Rattus norvegicus: one gene and its partner. The protein of the gene in region 1 purifies or fractionates together with the protein of each later gene. This does not show direct contact. Links are inferred from orthologs where the notes say so. Each region holds a gene or a part of one and is shown on either strand. Other genes may lie near its edges.

Region 1 (9,885 bases):
GGAAGTGCTGGTGAGAAGGCAGAGACTTCTGTAAGCCTCTCCAAGCTCCTCACCTCATTGCTTTCTTCATAGGGCTTCTGGGAACCCTGAGCCATTATTTTATTTCTGTGGGCACAACCTGGGTAGGCAGAGATTTCTCAGGCCAGGTATTTTCGAAGAACAAGTGACTTCTTGATGTGCCACCCAGCTGCTGCTGTCAGCTACAGTCTCCTCTCTACCGACCCCTCTGTGCCTCTGGAGTGGAACTAGGGGTTTGAGGTGGCCCTAGGAAGTCCTGGTAGGCTAAGGAGAGGCAAGCATCTGGTTCTGCCTTCCACCCCCTTTCCTCCATTCCGTATTTCCCCACTCCCCGCGCGCGAACACACACACACACACACACACACACACACACACACACACGCATATTTTTTTCCATGTCACGGGTTCCTAGGAGTCAGGCTCAGCCTTCCTCAGAGAAGTAGATTTCCTGAGCCCAGAGTTGATTCTCCTCACAAATCCTTTCTGTTTTGATCCACACAGACCAGTAGGTGAGGGATTTGTCTTACAGGCTCAAGGATGGGGCAGAGTTGCTCTGCAGATAGTGCTGGTTAGATGGATGGATGGGGACAACCTGACTGAGCATTTAGACTGTCTTCCACCCACGGTGACTTCTCAAGGAGACTTAGCTTCACCTGCCAACGGAAGGTAGCCTGCATTTGTCAGTAGTTTGGCAGGTAATAGCTCCTTTCAACACCCCCCCCCCCCAAAGTGAGTCTATGAAGGGGAAAATGGGCTAGAGAGGCTCCAGGGTCCTCAGCAAAGTCCATCCTCTTTTTTATTTCCCCATGTGCTTTGCAGAGGGGCCTTTGGGATGACTTGTCTTTAATTATTTATTTATTTGTCTATTTTTGCATTGCTCCAAGCTGGCAGAGATGATGTCTGTTTGCTCACAGAATTTACTTCATATGTGGATCATAAGAGTGTTTATTCTTGAATTTATTACTGAGTGATGGAAAGCAAAGGACGGGCTCCACTTGTAAAGGAAGAGCCCTCTCTTCACTATGGACACAACACTTTGAAAATAAGTTTGAGTGGTTGGAGATTTAGCTCAGTGGTAGCGCACTTACCTAGCAAGCGCAAGGTCCTGGGTTCAGTCCCCAGCTCCGGAAAAAAAAAAAAAAAAAAGAAAGAAAAAAAGAAAAGAAAAGGAAAAAATAGAAAATAAGTTTGAGGAACAAAACACAGGTAGGGAAGCAGCCTGTCAGTAGAGTCTGGGTTCTGGTTCCTCCCAGGAGAGAGAGAGAGTGTGTGTGTGTGTGTGTGTGTGTGTGTGTGTGTGTGTGTGTGTGTGTGTGTGTGTGGTGGAGCACCTGAGTTATGGATCCTCCAGAGTTGAACCTTATTGATTCACCATCTGCCCATCTGCAAATCACCTCCCTCGCCCTCAGGAGACACCAGCACCCCCACCCCCATCCCCTCAGAAAAGGTCCCAGGTCAGGGTTTTACTCCTACTTTTGAACTCTGCCTCCCACCTCTGAGAGACCAAATTCTTTTACATGTGAAAACTCCTATGAACTCATTAGAGCTTAACCTAGATCTTCTGGATCCTTCTCAACTCCCCAAAATTTCCTGTCTTTGGGGGAGCCAAGGATAGATATGCCTCCCCCACAGTGGGCACCCAGAGCAGGCGGTGACTGACAGATGCAAATGTTCCATCGGGCTCCCGCAGGCCGCTCTCCCTCCCTCCCTTGCTAGCCTGCCTCCTGGCCAGCTCCCTCCTTCCTTTATCTTATCAAAGCCCCGTAATTACAATTGCTATTTTGTTTCCTCGAATCTGCAATCAGAGCTCCCGCGCCTAGATGAGGGAGCGCCTGTCATCCTGATCTCTGAGTGACAGCCTGGCCACCTTTCCCTGCCGCCCCCACACTCTGCAAACACAAACACACACATGCACACACTCCCTCCTACAAACACAAACACACACTCTTTGCCAACACAAACGGCCCTCTCTGCAAACATGCAGTCGCCCGGACCCAAACGCACCCCTCACCCGGCCCCAGCCCCCCCACCCCCAGATCCACACCCAGGCCACCATGCCTGCAGGTCACAATATTGCGCGCCTCCAGTGCCCAGCGTTCAATGTGCCACAGACTCTATCAGCATAGTTCAAATGCAAATCTCTGCGTCTGTGTCAGCCACTTCGAACCGCGACAGAAAGCTGCGGTTCTTCTCGTCTGTTCCCCAACCCCCTTCTTTCAAGCATTCTCTAGACACCATCTTATGCCTACATCCCGCAAGTTCTCCGAGGCCAGATAACTGGCAGCACTCCTGTTGTGTGCTGAGAGTGCAGAAAAGGGGTATCCCGAAAAGGTGTGATCTGGAAAGAAGGAAAAAACAATTCTCAGGTCTGTCTGTACCGCGCCGCAAGGGGCCGGGGAAACTCCTGAACTAGCAGGCAAATGTGGATTGGGCTCCCACTGCGGGCAGGGCTGTGCTCCTAGTTCACCCGCCAGGAAAACAGGCGAGAAATACAATGGGCGATCAGTGGAGTCACAGGGGGTACACTGATGGTGGGGGAGTGTGAGCGTGGGCTAGGCGAGTAAGTTTGGAAGGCTTCCGGGAGAGGTGGCTCTTCGCTGCACTTAAGCAGGTATCAAAGAGTTGGGGGCAGGAGCTGAAAGGTAGTAGGAAAAGTGAGTGCCTCCACCTAACTCTTCTCCTCTAGCGCGGGCGCTCCGTGTGAATGAAAACATATATGCATTCAAAACTTTTGTTCCCTCCTATTCTGCCTCCTACAGCGGTACGATCACGAGCAGTTTTAAACACGCCCACCAGAGGGCGCTAGTTTCGTCTTCCCCTCCAGGTCGGCACTCTGCTAATGGCCCCTAGCCAGGGCCGGTGGTGGAAACACCTGGAAGGTACTGGACTCTTGAAAAGGCACCCGCAACCCTGCTTCTTGAAACACAGAAAGGCACCTCTCACTTGAACAAGGGAGGTTGAAAATTTACCCCTGACTCATCACATAGATTGGGGGAAAACTTTTGCCGTCAGGAGGAGCCACTTCCTCCTTTCCCTCCTAACCTCCATGGGGGGAGCCCAAGCTGAACTCGTTTCCAATTGTCTCCTCTCCGGTGCTACCACATTTGGGTTAGGTACCGCTTTCCTCTATTGTAGGGGACACTCTTGAAGTCAACACACTGAGCTCAACCCAACTTCTTTGTATTATGGAGAGGCCTCCTAGTTGTTGGTCAGCTGGTGTGAATTGGCCTGATTCTCGGACTCTGTTCTCTGTCAGTCTTCAGCTTGTCTGGAGAAGTAACCTTTTGTTTGTTTGTAAGGCATTGATCCCCACCCATCCTAACCCATCAACACTGCTGAACTGCTGACCCCAGGGTGGATAGTCCTCACACAAGCAACCCCGTTTCTCTTCCTGGCATAACAGTAGCCAGACCCAAGAACCACTTCATTCTAGGGATAAGGCAGTATGACAGCGCGCTGGGGGCAGAGGGGAGGGGTAACCCCTCAGCAGAGGAGGTTGATTCCCATGGGCTCCTTTCTGCCCCCATATGCCAGGCCACCCGGATTCTGGTTTCCCTGTCACCCAATCTGGCCAGTTCCCTCCATCTGGCCCTGGGAATCAGGTTTCTAAGGCCCCTGCTCTACTCGACCTACCTCAAAAGACCAGACCAGAGGCTGGTCCCCACCCTCACAGGCCCTCTCTTTGGGCTGAGCCCCTCATGGGGTTAGGGATGCACATTCCTCAGGTTTCTTAAGCCCACTTATCTGTCCCTCTGCCCATCAACCTGAGTGCTGACAGAGGCCCAGGCCCCTTGTTTGGAAGCTGATAACCTCCTGCAATGGCCCTCCCTCCCCCACCTGCAGGAACATGGGATAGGCTGGAATAGGAGGTCCCTCTGCTGCAAGGGTGAGGAACTCAAGCCCGCTTTGGGCCCAAAGCCCTGGGGAATACGATCCCACACTTCACCAGCACAAGACCTACTAGGCCAACCTTTGTGCTGCCACAGTGCCACCTGGTGGTCCCTAGGGAAATGTCATCTCAGCATTGAAAAAAGCCACACAAGGATTGCAAAAAACCATACACCACTTTATTTAGATATTTATCTAAAAATGTAAAAAGTGTTAAAAATGTGCTCTGAACTTCATGGTGGTTTTTTTTTGTTTTGTTTTGTAGTGCTGGGGATTGAACCTGGGGCTTTACAAAACTTTTAGTCTGGGTAGGTGGGTTATAAGAGGTGTTCAAAGGTCATCCCCATTCCAGAAGAAAAGGGAAACTTCAGGAACCACAGGACCCTAAGGAGAATGACTGGTCTCTCAGACCAGCCTAAGTCCCTCCCACCCACCCCCTTCCTAAACCATCCTCTTCAGCGAGAAAACCATCCTTGAACTTGTCCAGGGACACATGGAACATGGCACCTGTAGCAAGCAGCTCCCTGACCTGAGAAAAGCAAGAAAGAAATCAGTGTCTTCGGCTTCACCTCTCCCTTAACTTCCCAGATCCTGCTGGAACCCCCTCCCCTCCTACTCACCAGAGGGCTAAGGCCTGCCCCTATGCTTTTTGGCAGGAAGGATTCCACACAGCTTAATTTCATCTTCACTCTCATCCGGACTTTCTTCAGAAAGATCGTTGTTTATACAAACTGGTGGATACACACAGGAAGACAGAAGGTTAAAGCCAAACACCACAGGTCACTTATTCAGTGCCCCGTGCTGCTAGGCTGACAGGGAACCTCATCTTCCAGAGTTCCTAAGTCTACATGGGAAGAAGCTCAGTAATTGAACTGGGGGGGGGGGGGAGCCCAAAACCCAAAAGAGCCCACCCACACCGCTGGGGCTGGACACCTGGGGAGGGGTCCAGGAAGTTCACAGGCCTGACTGAGGCAATGAGAGGCACATAAAACTGAACCATGAGGCTGGGGTAAAAGTCAGGAGTGGAGAGTGAGGGAGGAGAGGGCCCACTCCTCTCACCGATCTGATGCCGACCAGTGATCCGCACAGGGCCAGAACCGGACTTGAGGCGGAACGTTACAGGTGGTTGGAGCTGGAAGTCATCTACACTGAGCTGGAAGACAAGAAGGATGAAAGCCTAATTCATTCTGGTCCATCCATTTTGAGATTAATACTGAAGTTCTCAATCCCCAACATACTCCAACGAATGGACGGCTACAACTCACCATGGGCTGGCAAGACAACCTGAGGTTGGCCACAGGAACTGCAATCTCCTGATTGTCGTGATCGCGGGCCACAACTTCCACCACATTACACTCGTCCTTGGCACCCTCGGTAAGGCACAGCTGAAAGGCATACAGAACCCCTGCGTCTCAAGTGAGGGCGGACACCAAGGTGAAGGCATCTTGCCCTAAAAGCTGCCTAGTCTCAGTGGTACCCGATGGGGGGACCAGAGACGTAGCCCTTTGAGGGTAGCCACAAGTGACTCTCAATCCGAAGGTGGGGGAGAGGGGAGATAAGCGAGTGTCCGCGAGACCCCCGCATCTCCAACTCCCTCTGCACCCCCTTACCATGTTCAAAGCCAGCACATGTTCTGTATCATCCTCTTCCTCAACCTTGAAAGTAAAGGAGCGGGTGTGGCTGGAGAGCTCACAACCTGCAAGAGCCAGTGCGTTCGCCTGAGAGGAGCACTCGTGGAGAGGACAGAGCGCGGGGGCGTTTCACAAACTCCGCTGTCCCCTCCACCCGGTCGTGTGCTGCCGGGGAGTGACGGGCCGTTTACTCGCCTAGAACACGTGGACCGGCGTCTCTCGGCCCGTACAGGCCGCGAAGGGTTAGGGAAAGCGAGGCGCCCTCGGCCCACACCCACGTCGCCCAGCCGCGTTCCTCAGCCCGACGCCTCACCCACCCCGTACCACTCTTCCATTCCCGTGTTCAATACCGAAGAAGAAACTATCCATTGTGACCGGAGCCGGAACCCTCAGGCCCCCGAGGCCCCGAGCCCTGGCTCGGCTCTCTTGGTTCAAGAACGCCAAAGCAGCCGCGGCGCCGGCGGCCATGCTGAAACGGCCGTGAGAGCCCCGCCCCCCACGCACCGAACGCCGCACCTCTGCCAGTTCCGGCCCCGCCCATTAAAGGCGCCGCGTGGCGCGAGGCACGTGAAACGCCGCACTGGCGTGAGAGCAGCTGTCGCCTCTTCCCCAAGGCCTCAGAAGAAATTTTCACTCGGACTTCAAAGTCAGCGTCCATTCACTGAACCCCTTTCTTCCAACCCGGGAATATGGAGATGTCGGTGCAAACTTTTCGTATCTCCTTTCCCAGTAAACTTGGGGTACGGAGCAGCCATTTTTACTTTCTCCCAGGGATTCCCACCCAAATTAGCCACTACATAAGCTTCTTGATCTTGATGGAGGCTTGACAGGAAAGTCGGAAGCTCAGATGTGGGAACCAACTACTGTTCCTATTACAGCCTCCACTTAGGCGATCCCCCGACCCCTCCAATATTCCTCCATTTAAGGTCAAGCCATATGCCATTCCATAGAGAAACTCAGTGAGACATCCCTCTACTTCACATAAACTTTAACTGTAGTAAGAGAGCAACTTACTTAAACGCACTTTTCTGAGAAAAATCTTTGCTGTGGAAGGCAGGAGGGAAGGGCTGTCTTTAAAATCCAGTCTACATTGAAATAGGTTTGGATACTTGAGGGATCAGATGTGAGGAAAAAAAGATGGGAGAAACCGGAGAAAAGGCAGCACACCACACATATTCTCTTCAAGTTTTATTGTGCCTCTTGCATGGTGCAGATAGTTTTACAGTTCTTTTACTATAGGAACTGAGCTGTGATCCAAACAATCAATGAACTTATTCCAACCTCAGTAAATATTCATAACCATGGAAGATGGCATAGCACTTAGCCTACAGCGATGACAGCACAGACCTGGGCAGGTTTTCAGTTATGTCCAGAAGATCATCCCAAGTGATTACTGAAAGCCAACATTAAACAAAAAGCAACTTGTTTAAAATTCCTGATTCAGTATGAAACTCTGAAATCCTCCAAATGTTGTAATTCCCACTAAGGCATGGGATGTATTCGGAAAGAGGAACATTAAACCGTCTTAACACCTAGTAACAATTTTGCCCTTCACCCCAGCCTTCAAAACCAAACTTGATTTTAAGTTTTCCAATACATCCTATCAAAGGTTTGTACCCTAATGAGGTGGCTTATTTCAACACACACCCGGGCTTCTGGTGCAAGTCACTGGGTCCACTATAAAGAGTGCTAAACGTAAAACTATATCACAAGCTCACACTGGAGTTCTATAAAAGAAAATGTTTCAAGCTTCCTTTTCTCTCTCCCTCCTCAGCTCAAAAGTTCAAAAGCTGATGTAAAACTGGAGGAAAGCAAGGTAACAAAATACTGTTGAAAATCTAGTTACTAGCTAGCCATGATTTAAAAAAAAAAAAAAAAAATCCTGCAGAGGCTCTCTGCCAGCTTCATGCTCAAAACCCTTAAATTCACCAAATCTAAATTAAAATACATGAAGTTTTCGGAATCTGAGTAAAAGAAAAGTATACTCATGGTTAACATATACTTATTCTTCCTCTTAAAAATTAGATACAAACATGCAAGAATTAAAGACTGATTCAATTAAACCAGTAGTTAACAGGTCTTTGCGATTAAATGACAAGTGTACTAAGGGCAAATGAGACCACTAGTCAGTCCCCTGACCCTTACTTGACAATGTCAAAATGTTTCACATTCGGATCTGCTATTAAGGTGAATTCCCAGAAGTAACCGCACTTCCCAACAGATGGGAGTTAAAGTTAGGTGCTCATACCCCAAATAGTCATGGCCTATCCCGATGTGGGAGGCACTTCAAAGACAAAACTTCTCAGGAAGAAAAGGACAAATGAAAGGAAATCTACCACTCACTGGTTTACATTATTCAAAGTGCCATCCTAAAACAACACCTTTCAGTTTCAAAGGAAAAAAAAACATAATATATAAAACAGTAAACAAAGAACAGTCAGGTTACAGCTAGTCTATGTACAAAGAGATTTACAAGTTTGTCAATTTAGGCCTTTGCCACAAACAAATGCACATTTGTCCCTAACAAAGCACAACGATCTGAACCAACCAGTCACAGGGGACAGCTGTCCAGAGCTTTACAAAAAGCAGAAAAATTGCCTCAAATCGAAACTCACTAAATTCTCATTCCAGCCATGTCTCCAAAGAACAGAGACATTTCACTCTGCACACCAAGGAGAATAGAGAGTGATTGATCTTCATTGCTCTTAGGTGAGAAATGCAACCACACTGGATGCAGAAAACAGTGCTGACTACATTTATTTAAGACCCTCTCCCTAGAGAACCCCATGTAAGAGGCCCTGGCACTAACACGAGACCCAAAGAGGAGCACATCACAAGCTGCACAGGACATGCAGCAGTACTGTCTTCTCTCAACCAGCGAGCGGCTGAAAATGGGATGGGTGAGTTTTACAGTCATCTTTGTTTCCAATTCAACTGGCTGATCTGCTGCCGCTCCAGACACTGAACTGTGTGAAGACCTCAACCACCAACCACAAGGTGGAGTTAAGAGACTTTTGGACAGTTCACAGTACCATCAATGTCACAGGCTTCGACCAAGTATAACCACATCCTTTGGAAATCCTTCCATTTTTGCAATTTCAAAACAGCCTAACTTGCTGTAAAATTCCAGAATCCTTTTATCATCTGGTCTTACTTCACAGAAAGCCCCCCGGGAGCCTAGAAATAAAACAAATATTTTAAATATAAGTAAGTGTATCATACAGATATGAATCATGTTTAATATAGATTAACAGTTTTACCTATCCCTAAATTTCCTATTACAGCTTTCATTTACTTTGTGGTAATAGGGCACTAACTATATTCCCAGCCCAACAATATTTTAAAGTATTTTTTTGTTTTTTAGATAGGGTCTCACTCTGTAGCCCTGGCTGGCTTAGAACTCAGAATAGCAGGCCGACTTTGACTTAAGAAATCCACCTGCCTCAGTACTGGTACTAAATGTACATGCCACCAAACCTGACTTTAAAAATTGTTTTAAAGATTTATGTTATGTGTGAGTACACTGCAGCTGTCTTCAAACATAGCAGATCCCATTACAGATGGTTGTGAGCCACCATGTGGTTGGTGGGATTTGAACTCAGGACCTTTGGAAGAGCAGTCAGTTATAACTGCTGAGCCATCTCTCCAGCACTACTTTAAAATTCTTAATACTTAGCCAACAGTGAGTAAAAAACTCTTCCTGGATGAGGCCAGCTCTACATGCCCCCTTAGACCCACTGCCCGGGAGGCAGAGGCGGGACAGAGTTACAGGACACCCAGGGCTACAGAGAGAAACTGTCTTTAAAAACAAAACAAACAACAACAACAACAACAACAACAACAACAACAAAAAGCCGAAAGAAAAAAGGACAAAAAGGAAAAAAAAGTCTAGAGAGACAGTTCTGTGTGTCTTCCTACTGAGGCCCTACATAGATTCAATCTCCTATGGTATAAAAATGTAAAAACAATTTGGGGATTGGGTGGACAGTGCTCTGTGCATGCTTGGTAAGTGTTTTACCACTGAGCTACATTACCAGACCTCTAACTCTGAAAATGGCTGACAAACTACTCACTTTCCTACCAGCTTAGAGCTAAACTGTTAGAGTCAGATTCTCACCATGAATCCTGGACTAGCCATTTTAATCTTACCTCAGATTCTCACATTCTGAGATCATGTATACTACACAATGTTCAGTCTTAAAATGTGTTCTTACATTTTTAAAGGCTGCCTGAAAAGATATTCAAGGAATACTATCTGTGGCACTTAGAGCCTAGAACATCATCTTGCCCTATATAGATTTTTCCCCAAAGTATTAATGGTGAAGCAAGGAATTTTTGAAAACTCCAC
Region 2 (9,458 bases), on another chromosome or scaffold:
ATACATGTATACAGACATACACTGTACACACAGATCACACATTCTAAAAAGACTAGAAACCAGGACAACATGACCCAGAGCAGAAGGCAAGGTCCAGCCCTACTCAATTGGGGTCAACAGCAGTGTCGAGAGGATTTGCAAGGACACAAATTCTCATACACTGCACTTATAACTGGAACACCTAATGCTCATTTCAGCCCTTATCTGAGAAACTGGGAACTGGAAGTGGCTGTTTGCAGACTTTAATAGTGGAACAACCCAAGTCCAAGACTCCCAAAATCAGAAATATTCAACCTTGTAGCTTTCTTGAGCCTCATACGTGTGGTCAAAGTTTCATAGCAGAAAGCAGCTGTGTTCTAGTTGAAGTGAGTGTGCAAATCCAGATTCACACCTACCACTCACACCCTCATGCCTTTGAAACAAAGGCTGTAGGAGAGGGCAAGGGGAGGACTCATGATTTCTCCTAAGCTTACCCCTCTGTCCATTTCTGGCCTGCAGGGCCAAGCAGATTTTCCATGGCTACAATACCTTTTCTCATGGGTAGAGCAGCTCACTTTGTAATTCAGGACTCACTTCCAGGAGCAGTCAGTTGTACACTATGTACAAATAATCAGGTGATGGCATTGATAGCAGGTGACAAATTCATGACTGGCCTTATTCCTGGCAAACACTTACTTAGCTACGTTTTTGCTGTGCTTCATAGGAACAATAAAAAGGAAAACACCAAAAGTCTTCTCATATACCCCCTTAGGAGTAACAGTGACAAAATGAAGATTAAATAATGGTTTTAACCATTTGAGTAATGGAAAAACTTTTGATAATTCATTTTAACAACATAGCATACACTCACATGTTATTCAGAAGGATGACCTGGGCAGGTGAGATGGCTCAGCCCATGGGTAAACACATGATGCTATGCCTGACAGTCTGAATTCCACCTGTGATGGCTTGAATATGCTTGGCCCAAGGAGCGACACTATTATTAAGTGTGGTCTTGTTGGAGTGGATGTGTCACTGTGGGTGTGAGCTTTAAGCCCTTCCTCCTAGATGCCTAGAAGCCAGTCTTCTGTTTGCTTTCGGAACAAGATACAGAACTCTCAGCTCCTCCTGCACCATGCCTGCCTGGATGCTGCCATGCTTCTACCTTGATGATAATGGACTGAACCTCTGAACCTGTAAGCCAGCCCCAATTAAATGTTGTCCTTTATAAGACTTGCCTTGGTCATGGTGTCTGTTCACAGCAGCAAAACACTAACTAGGACACCACCCCTTGGACCCAGAGGTAAAAGAACAGAACCAACTCTCAGAAGTTACCCTCCGATACCCATATTCATGTATGTTACTGTCTGATATCCACACATAAGTACGTACCCATGCACAAAATGTAAAAACCTTAAAAACATGATGTTTCTCTGCTATGCCAACCTTGTTCTGTTTACCTTCAGATACATAAGATTTTGTGAAATAATTCCAGATTTTAATGCCATAGTAGATCATAAAGTCATCTGATATTGAGAAACCTACTTGTTTCAGTCATGAAGGGTGCGTTCCCCAGGGGCAGGCCATTCATCATATTTACCACCTTGCACAGTCAAAGCCAAATACTCACCATCTGATTAACTTACACAACGCTGCTGTCAATGTTTATTGAATTGGAATGCACACACTGGAATACTGCACAGACGCAGCTCTCAGCCTAAGCAGTGTTTCCAGATCTTAGCAATACCCCTTAAAACAGCAGAACACTGGACCAGCTTGTTAACTGCTCAGAAGTTTCACCTAAGTACATCTAAACTCCCATCAAAGCAAAAATATCATCAATGTCATCTGCCTCTTGAGCGGTGCCTGGCGCACTGTGCATGTGCACCTGTCTCTTCGTCCGCAGGCCGGTTTCACTTCCACCGCCCCCTCTCAGATTCCCATGGACCCCCATCTTCTTAGCTTTTAGGTCAGGCTTTGCAAGTTTGCTCAAGACCTGCTCTCCATTCAGACAGACATCTGACCTCTGAACTGTCCCACCAGAGCATCTCTTCTTAGCACTGCTGTCCCTAGTGGTTTTCAGAGTCCCTTCAGGGACCTGCTGGGTTTCCTTTATAAGAGTTGACTGTAACTTTCTCTGTGGTTTCCTTTGTCTTGATAAAACTTTATACTTTGATCTTCTTTGTCTGGGAGGGTGCTTTGAAGTGCTGACACTGAAGCCTCGGAGAAGGCCCTTGCAAAGAGATGTTTTCATGCACTGAAGCTTCTTCGGCAAACTAAAGAACAAAAGAGAGAAATCTCAACTTATTATGATACTAAAAAGTTCTCAAGCACTTTTAACTGTCTCCACCAACTGTCAACAGAAGAGTACACAATTTATTACAAGTCCTAGGCCTGTATATATGTAAGGAAATGGGAGTTTCAACCTAAGAGCATTTTTTCAGATTCCCTCTCTGATTCAGGATACAGGCAGATGTGCCTCCATTTTGCCCTAAAGTAACTCTCATGACTGCCTAGCAAGGACACATCTGGTGTGACCTTGTTCACACTTAAGAGCCATAGCCTTTCCCTCGTGCTGATAATCTGTTTCTAGGTAAACAAGAGTGGAAATGGCAAAATATCACAAATTAAAAGCTCTGTGGTGTGTCAGAATCCACTTCTGGCTAAGCTCATGTTGTAGCAGGAAACGAACAGGGGGAAGGAATGAAAATAACGAGGGGTCATCTAGCAAAGACAAACTGACCCCTGTGAGGTGTCCTGGGAGTTGTTCTGTATCCCCTGCAGTCAGAACTTACCTCATACGTTTGGCATTTGCCTCGCACCTCATAACTGTTGGTAAAGATTAATATAGGTCTATGTGCCTAAGCCAAGTCCCTCTGCTCTTACTTTAAAGAAATAAAATTATATATTAATATATATTAATAAGCAATTTAGGACCCCGATTTCCCAGCCATGACTAGAAGCACTGACTTTGCATTGAGTAAAATGTGGGTGCATCTCTGAGTTGAAACAAAAATAATAATGGGAGGACCTGAAATAAGTCCTAGCTCTCCAGGGCCAACAGCTTGAACAAAACCATGTCTCCATGTATGAATGGGAACAATGCTGCCCACCTTCCAGAATACTGAAAACCATCTCTCCATGTATGAATGGAACAATGCTGCCCACCTTCCAGAATACTGAAAACCATCTCTCCATGTATGAATGGAACAATGCTGCCCACCTTCCAGAATACTGTGAACTCTAATGTTTTACAAAGTGTTCCATAGGAAAAAAGATGTATTACTGAAACAGCAATAGGGCAATATAGTCAACATATTTTGGGAAGTAGAGACTACCACTTAATCAACAGACCTGTTTGTTACCCCTCTTGCTAACTGTTCATCATCATGATCTGTTTCCTCACAACCCTAAACTGTTCTATCTTTGTAAGACCCACAATAAACTGAATCTCTCAATGTGAGGGGCTAAGCGACTGTTCCTGCAGCCTGTGTGGGCCTCACAGGCAGACACACTTCCCTCACATCCTCAGCCGGCTGTGCTGCTGCCGTATCTACAGAAGGCCACCGCCCACAAGAACAGAGCTCCTGAGGACTAAGGCTGCCCCATGCTGTCAGCACCAGGTTTTGAACACCAGAGGTAATCTAAGGCTTTCTGAAATGAGCCAGTGGGAATGACATGGTGTAAGGATTCCAAACAACTGTCACTTTCTCCTGACACAACTGCCCAGATAACGTTAGCAACACATGAAACTGTACTTGTCTTGTTCTAGCACCTCAAGAGCTGGGAGATTTTAAACAAGGTAGGTAATGCACATGCGTACACTTCCTCACTGAAATGGGAAAGGAATTTTTCTAATGTAATTACCTGTAACCTTGAGATTCCACATGTCTAAGCCTATTAGTCTTAAGAAGTTTGTTGCCCAGATAGATGGCCTGAGCCTTGAGCTTTTTGCTCCGGGACCACGCAATTGCCATTTGGATTTCTTCAGAAAGTTGGGTGAATGTCTTGGTCATTCGGATTCTTTGCACAGTATCATTAGCCCAGTGAGTTCTCAATTTCTGAGAGGAAAGTTTGGTTGTCTTCGGTTTGGATTGGGAATATTTAAACTGTTGGCTGGTCTCCTGAAGTGTAAAAAGAAGAGAAAAAAGATATTGAAAACAGTAGTAGTGACTTTTAAATAAAGGAAAACAGTTTTGAAAAGCTGGGCCATTAAAAAGTTAAAATAATTTTTAAGGACACTTATAATCCATCAACCTTTTCTTTTATCCATTCTCCTAACACTTCCCTTTTTACCCTTCTACCGAGGCAAGTCCTATCTGCCCTTTAGTGAAGTGTACACAGAAAACCCAAGATAGATACACACATATGTAACACATCTACCCACACACTAAAACCGATTAAACGGTTTGTCAAAGTCTAATGATGGGGGAAATCCCAAGTCTTCCACAATGATATCCTCCCTTGTTTTCTTCTTTGTTTATCAGGGAGGTCATTTTTATTTTTTACTTTATTTTCTTTACTGAAGACTGAACTTAGGCCCTTGTAAATACTTGGCGAGTGGCCTTTATCCCCAGCCCTTTTAAAGTTTTTTTTTTCAAATTCTGCCTCAGTTTCCCCTCTTGAAATATGAAAGCAGTAAGTCAAGAGTTTCTCTTACAGAGTTTTTCTGAGGATTAGTGGTTAATGCTAAAGCATTTAAGATATCGTCAGGGGCTTAAAGGATCTGCTAAAGAATTTTTTCCTCCTTCTGAATTTATGAGTTGAGCAAGATAAAAATGCGAACTGCCATCTGTGTTTAAAAGTTCAATAAAGAACTGCGGGTTCTTAGAAGTAAGAGTTTGTAAATAAAAGGAAACCAGACAATGGTAACAAAAGTCAAGCGGTTACTGGGTGACAGGTGACACTGATGTACTTAGTCATGAAGTCCAGAACCATTTTCTGACGCTAATATAAGGTATCGTGTAAAGCTTGAACTCCCAAAAGGATTGATGCCTCATGACAAATGAGGAGGGAGACAAGACCAATGACTGCCACTAACATCTGGCATCAGTTGAATGCTTACCACACACGAGACCCACCTAACACACGTACTAGCCCAGACTGAGAGATGCATGGAGTGGAGAAGGGAAGTATAGAGAGGTCAGGGACCACACAGCTAATACGGAGTGGGGCGAGCGTTCCAGCAAGTACAAAGCCCATGCTTTTAAAGTGCTCACCATCCGTATTTAGGGCAGGCCATAAGACTGCTTGGAGATCCCAAAGGCATGCCTAGTAAAGCACTTCTGAATACACCCCACTAACTGGACTAACTAGGACCATTGAAAAGCCAGCTTCTTGAGGAGGAGGGCAACCCTATAGGAGGACCAGCCCTTTCAATTAACCTGGACCCTCGAGATCTCTCAGAGACTGGACCACCAACCAGGCAGCATACACCAGAAGATATGAGGCCCCCAACACACATACAGCAGAGGACTCCTGGGTCTGGGTTCAGTCAGGGAAGATGCACCTAACCCTCAAGAGACTGGAGGCCCCTGGGAGTTTAGAGATCTGGTGGGGTGGGGACATCCTCGTGGAGACAGGGGTGTGGGGAGGAGGTATGGGATGTGGAACAGTCGGGGGGCTGAACCAGGAGGGGAATAAAATCTGGAGTGTAAAATTTAAAAAAAAAGAAGCAATGGCAGGAAAGAAGAAATAAAATACAGCAATAACAACAAAGCGAACTTCTTCATTAAGCAGCACAGACCAAGAACTGAGTGCAATCAAGCTTATTAGAGCAGACTCTACCTCCCTCCCCACTGAGGAGCTTCCTCTAAACCTGGCAGAAGTGAAAAGCTATGAGGTTAACCAGACAGACCTGAGTAGCTTTGTTTCGGAGTCTTGTGCAGAAAGCCCGCACGTCAAATCCCAATGGCTTTTCTGTGGAATTAGAAAACAAAAGACAGAAAAACTCAGCCATGTTACTTTCAAACCTCCAACAACGTCTTAACTACATGACATTTCCTGCCAAGTTCCTATAAAGGAAATGAAGAGAATAAAGCAGGGCACCATGAAGGAACCAGAAGCCGAGCTGTGAGAACTGGTAACACTCACACCTCCCTAAACGTAATCAGTGTGAGATTCTGAATTTCTACACAATGCACGACTATATCATGCTTTCAAAGGCGTATTTTATAAGTATGTATTTAAGAAAGAAAAGATAGAAATAGATAAACGCAGTTTAAAGGAAATAAAGAAAAGTCTGTGCTTGTCTAAGCAGCTCACCTTTTCGGGTCCTTTTACACGCTTTCACTGGCTGCCCCAGGTCCACGCTGCTCTGTGGGCTGCTTTTCATTTGTTCACATGGTTGGGAAAGTTTATCCAAGGTGTCTCCATTGGTCTCTGATAGTTGCTCTTTCATTAAAAACAGTTTATTTAGCAGCTTAGTTACTCCTTTAGGAGCAAAAGATGCAGGGGTTTTTCCCTTAAAGATATCAAGGTAAGAGGAGCCTAGAAAGTCAGTGATGTTGGAGGGAAAGGCAAAATCTTTGAAGTAAGGCATGGGCTGAATCCTGGAGATCTCCTGATGCAATCCAAGCAATGGCTCATATAAGGAAATCAGCCGTCGCAAGAGTCCTTTATGGAGAACCCTAGAAGAAACAGAAGCTCTTTATATATATAAAATATTCGTAATTCAAATGCTATTACTTCTGATTAAGAATAAGCAGAATAAACTAATGGAGAGATATATAGAGGAAGAAGGGTAGGAGCCAGAGGGGTCAAAGCCGCCACATGAAACAGAATCAAGTAACCTGGGCTCATAGGGGCTCAGAGACTGAACTGACAACCAGGAGCCTACATGGGACTGACCTAGGCCTCCGCACATATGTTAGAGTTTGAGACTTAACAGTGGAAGCAGGGACTGTCCCCGTCTCTGTCGCCTGCTATTGGGACCCTTTCCTCCTACTGGGTTGCCTGCTCCAGCCTTAACAGGAGAGGAGGTACCTAGTCTTACTGTAACTTGATACGCCATGGCTGGTTGATATTCATGGAGGCTGGCCCTTTTTTGAAGAGTGGATAGGGGATTGAGGGTGGGAAGGAGGAGAGGAGAGAGAGCAAACTTCAGTCTGGATGTTAAAAAAATTAACTTATTTATTAATTAAAAAGAATAAGCAGGGGCTGGAGAGATGGCTCAGTGGTTAAGAGCACCCGACTGCTCTTTCAGAGGTCATGAGTTCAATTCCCAGCAACCACATGGTGGCTCACAACCATCTTAAAGAGATCTGATGCCCTCTTCTGGTGTGTCTGAAGACAGCTACAGTGTACTTATATATAATAAATGAATAAATCTTAAAAAAAAAAAAAAGAATAAGCAGAACAAAAAGATGACTGAAAATTCAAATAAGGTATCTGGGTTAAGACATCGAAGCAAGGTTTATATTTGAAAGTAGGAAGAATCTTGTGGGTTTGTCTCTGTTGTTTTGACAGTTTTGCTAAAATCAGAACTAATGATCCAATTCTGTGCCTAGTTATCCATCAAACCACTGTATGCACAAACACACACACCACACACAAGGAAATGCTTTTTTTCTAGTTTATAAATCTTGCAAGTATTATTTCTATCAACCAAATATGGCTCAAAAGCATCAGAGTGTCAGGCAGAAGAGAAGCCTAGAGCATACAAGGAAGGTCAAATTGTGTTTCTAATTTCTATTAAAATTAACAACCAGTTGTTAAAGAACCAAGATATGGTCAGTCCAGGAACAGCTGCTCTTTCAAAAGCCAACTGCAATATTACTACTGCCACCATTATAATAATAATAATAATTATTATTATTATTATTATTATTATTATTATTATATCATTATCAAATATTATTATAGTTCCTAGGTCCTAGGTCCTAGGAAATCACTTTCTGAGCTACTCGGTCTCAAGGTGAAGGTTTCAGAAGAAAAGCCCTCTGATATAACTACCCAGCCGACAATGTGAAAACCAACCATCGTGGGAAGAAAGGGAAGCCTGCACCTTCAGTTCCCAAGGCAACAGACTGTGTGAACACTAACAAGAAACTTGAGTCAGGTAAAGATGAAACACAAATGCAGAAATGTGAACGTACCATAACCTGCTCACCAGCCCAACCATCACAAGGTTCAAAATAATGAACTCGCGTAGCCCTAAGTGCTTCACAGTCAACCTGAAGAATTCAGTTTAAGGTGGAAAACAGAACCAAGGGAATTTAAGATTTGTAGGTTACAATTATGAAAGAAAGAACTTATAAGAAAGCTCTGAAGATAGTAAAGCCCTAACATGGCAATGAAGTCACATTACACTAAAAGCAAAAATATCTATTCTACTAGAGCTCCTATTGTGACAGAGTCTGAGAGTAAGAATTTCTAAAGGTCCTTAGAATACATGCTAGGTAGAGACATGGAGTCCTTGGCACCAGCCATGCCAGCAATAGCTGGAAGAGGAGCCAAAGGCAAAGCGTCAAGATTCCCCACAGGTTACACTGCTTTAAGAGCACAGCATTTGAACAGAAGCCCAATATACCCAAATAGCTTCCACTCAAAAGAAGGCATTCCCATAGTCAAGGATACAGAAACGTCTTGCAGCAGCGGTCCAACAAGCGCAGCAACAACTTGCAGCCTCCCAAAACCTTCATCAGCACCACCTCCATCACCGGCTGGCTGGGCACCACACGGTTTTCGGTAGCTCCAGGCTGAGTTTTACTTGACATACACAGAAAAGGACAAGACTGTCAATCTCTAAACACATCGTTTCTACAGCGGTATTCAGCCTGAGGTGGTTACGCCCACTAGCATTCCACTCTTCTTTCACTGCAACCCACTGTGAGCCCCAATTCAGTGTCCCACCAGTACCGCCCATCAGTCCACAGGTTCCCCTCACTAAAACACAACATGCCAGAGAATACCAAAGAGTGCTCAGACAGAGCAATGGACCACCTACTTGGCGGACAACAACTGTGACAGGTCTTCAATGGAGCCCTCCAAATTCATGTGTTTCAATCGTTTTAAGCACTGTTCTACCTGAAGGAGGAAGGACAGCTCAAATTAGTATGTGTATACATAACAATGTTACAGAGACCACCAAGAACACAAAGAAAGCAAAGCACTTCATGGTATGGAAATATGCCACAGAAGGCTTCCCATTTAAGGCCTAGGGGACCCACCCCAAAACAATCTCACCCACCCAACACATTTCTCAATTCAAGAAGATTACTACATGCCAAGTGTGCTCGATGCTGTAAAGTGACCAACATTAATGTAAGTCTCAATATTATAATTTGTTGAGGGAGCAGATTTACAGCAGTGAGGCTAGTAAAACAAGAAAGCAAACTCTTAACTCAGTTTCAATAGTCTATAAGCACCAGACATGAAGGTGACTTAGTCACAGAACAACTATTCTGAACACCTACTATGTGCAAGATATGCTAGGCAATGACGTAGTATATGATACGTTCCAACTTCTAGTAATAAAG

The links.
Region 2: the proteins of Npm3 (region 1) and Nepro purify together in Homo sapiens (affinity purification with mass spectrometry; 4 studies listed by BioGRID and IntAct, with this or other methods). This does not show direct contact. The link is inferred for Rattus norvegicus from reciprocal best matches to the Homo sapiens genes NPM3 and RMP64.

Annotation. Positions count from the first base shown.
Region 1 is NC_086019.1:254,540,601-254,550,485, forward strand, and holds Npm3 (nucleoplasmin-3), read right to left. Parts: upstream 6,050-9,885; 5' UTR 6,006-6,049; coding exon 5,888-6,005; intron 5,603-5,887; coding exon 5,517-5,602; intron 5,292-5,516; coding exon 5,172-5,291; intron 5,060-5,171; coding exon 4,966-5,059; intron 4,638-4,965; coding exon 4,534-4,637; 3' UTR 4,527-4,533; intron 4,436-4,526; 3' UTR 4,064-4,435; downstream 1-4,063. UniProt on the Homo sapiens protein: Plays a role in the regulation of diverse cellular processes such as ribosome biogenesis, chromatin remodeling or protein chaperoning. Modulates the histone chaperone function and the RNA-binding activity of nucleolar phosphoprotein B23/NPM.
Region 2 is NC_086029.1:69,462,647-69,472,104, forward strand, and holds the end of Nepro (nucleolus and neural progenitor protein), read right to left. Parts: intron 9,007-9,458; coding exon 8,927-9,006; intron 8,689-8,926; coding exon 8,557-8,688; intron 8,154-8,556; coding exon 8,076-8,153; intron 6,609-8,075; coding exon 6,244-6,608; intron 5,899-6,243; coding exon 5,837-5,898; intron 4,104-5,836; coding exon 3,847-4,103; intron 2,256-3,846; coding exon 1,790-2,255; 3' UTR 1,617-1,789; downstream 1-1,616. UniProt on the Homo sapiens protein: May play a role in cortex development as part of the Notch signaling pathway. Downstream of Notch may repress the expression of proneural genes and inhibit neuronal differentiation thereby maintaining neural progenitors.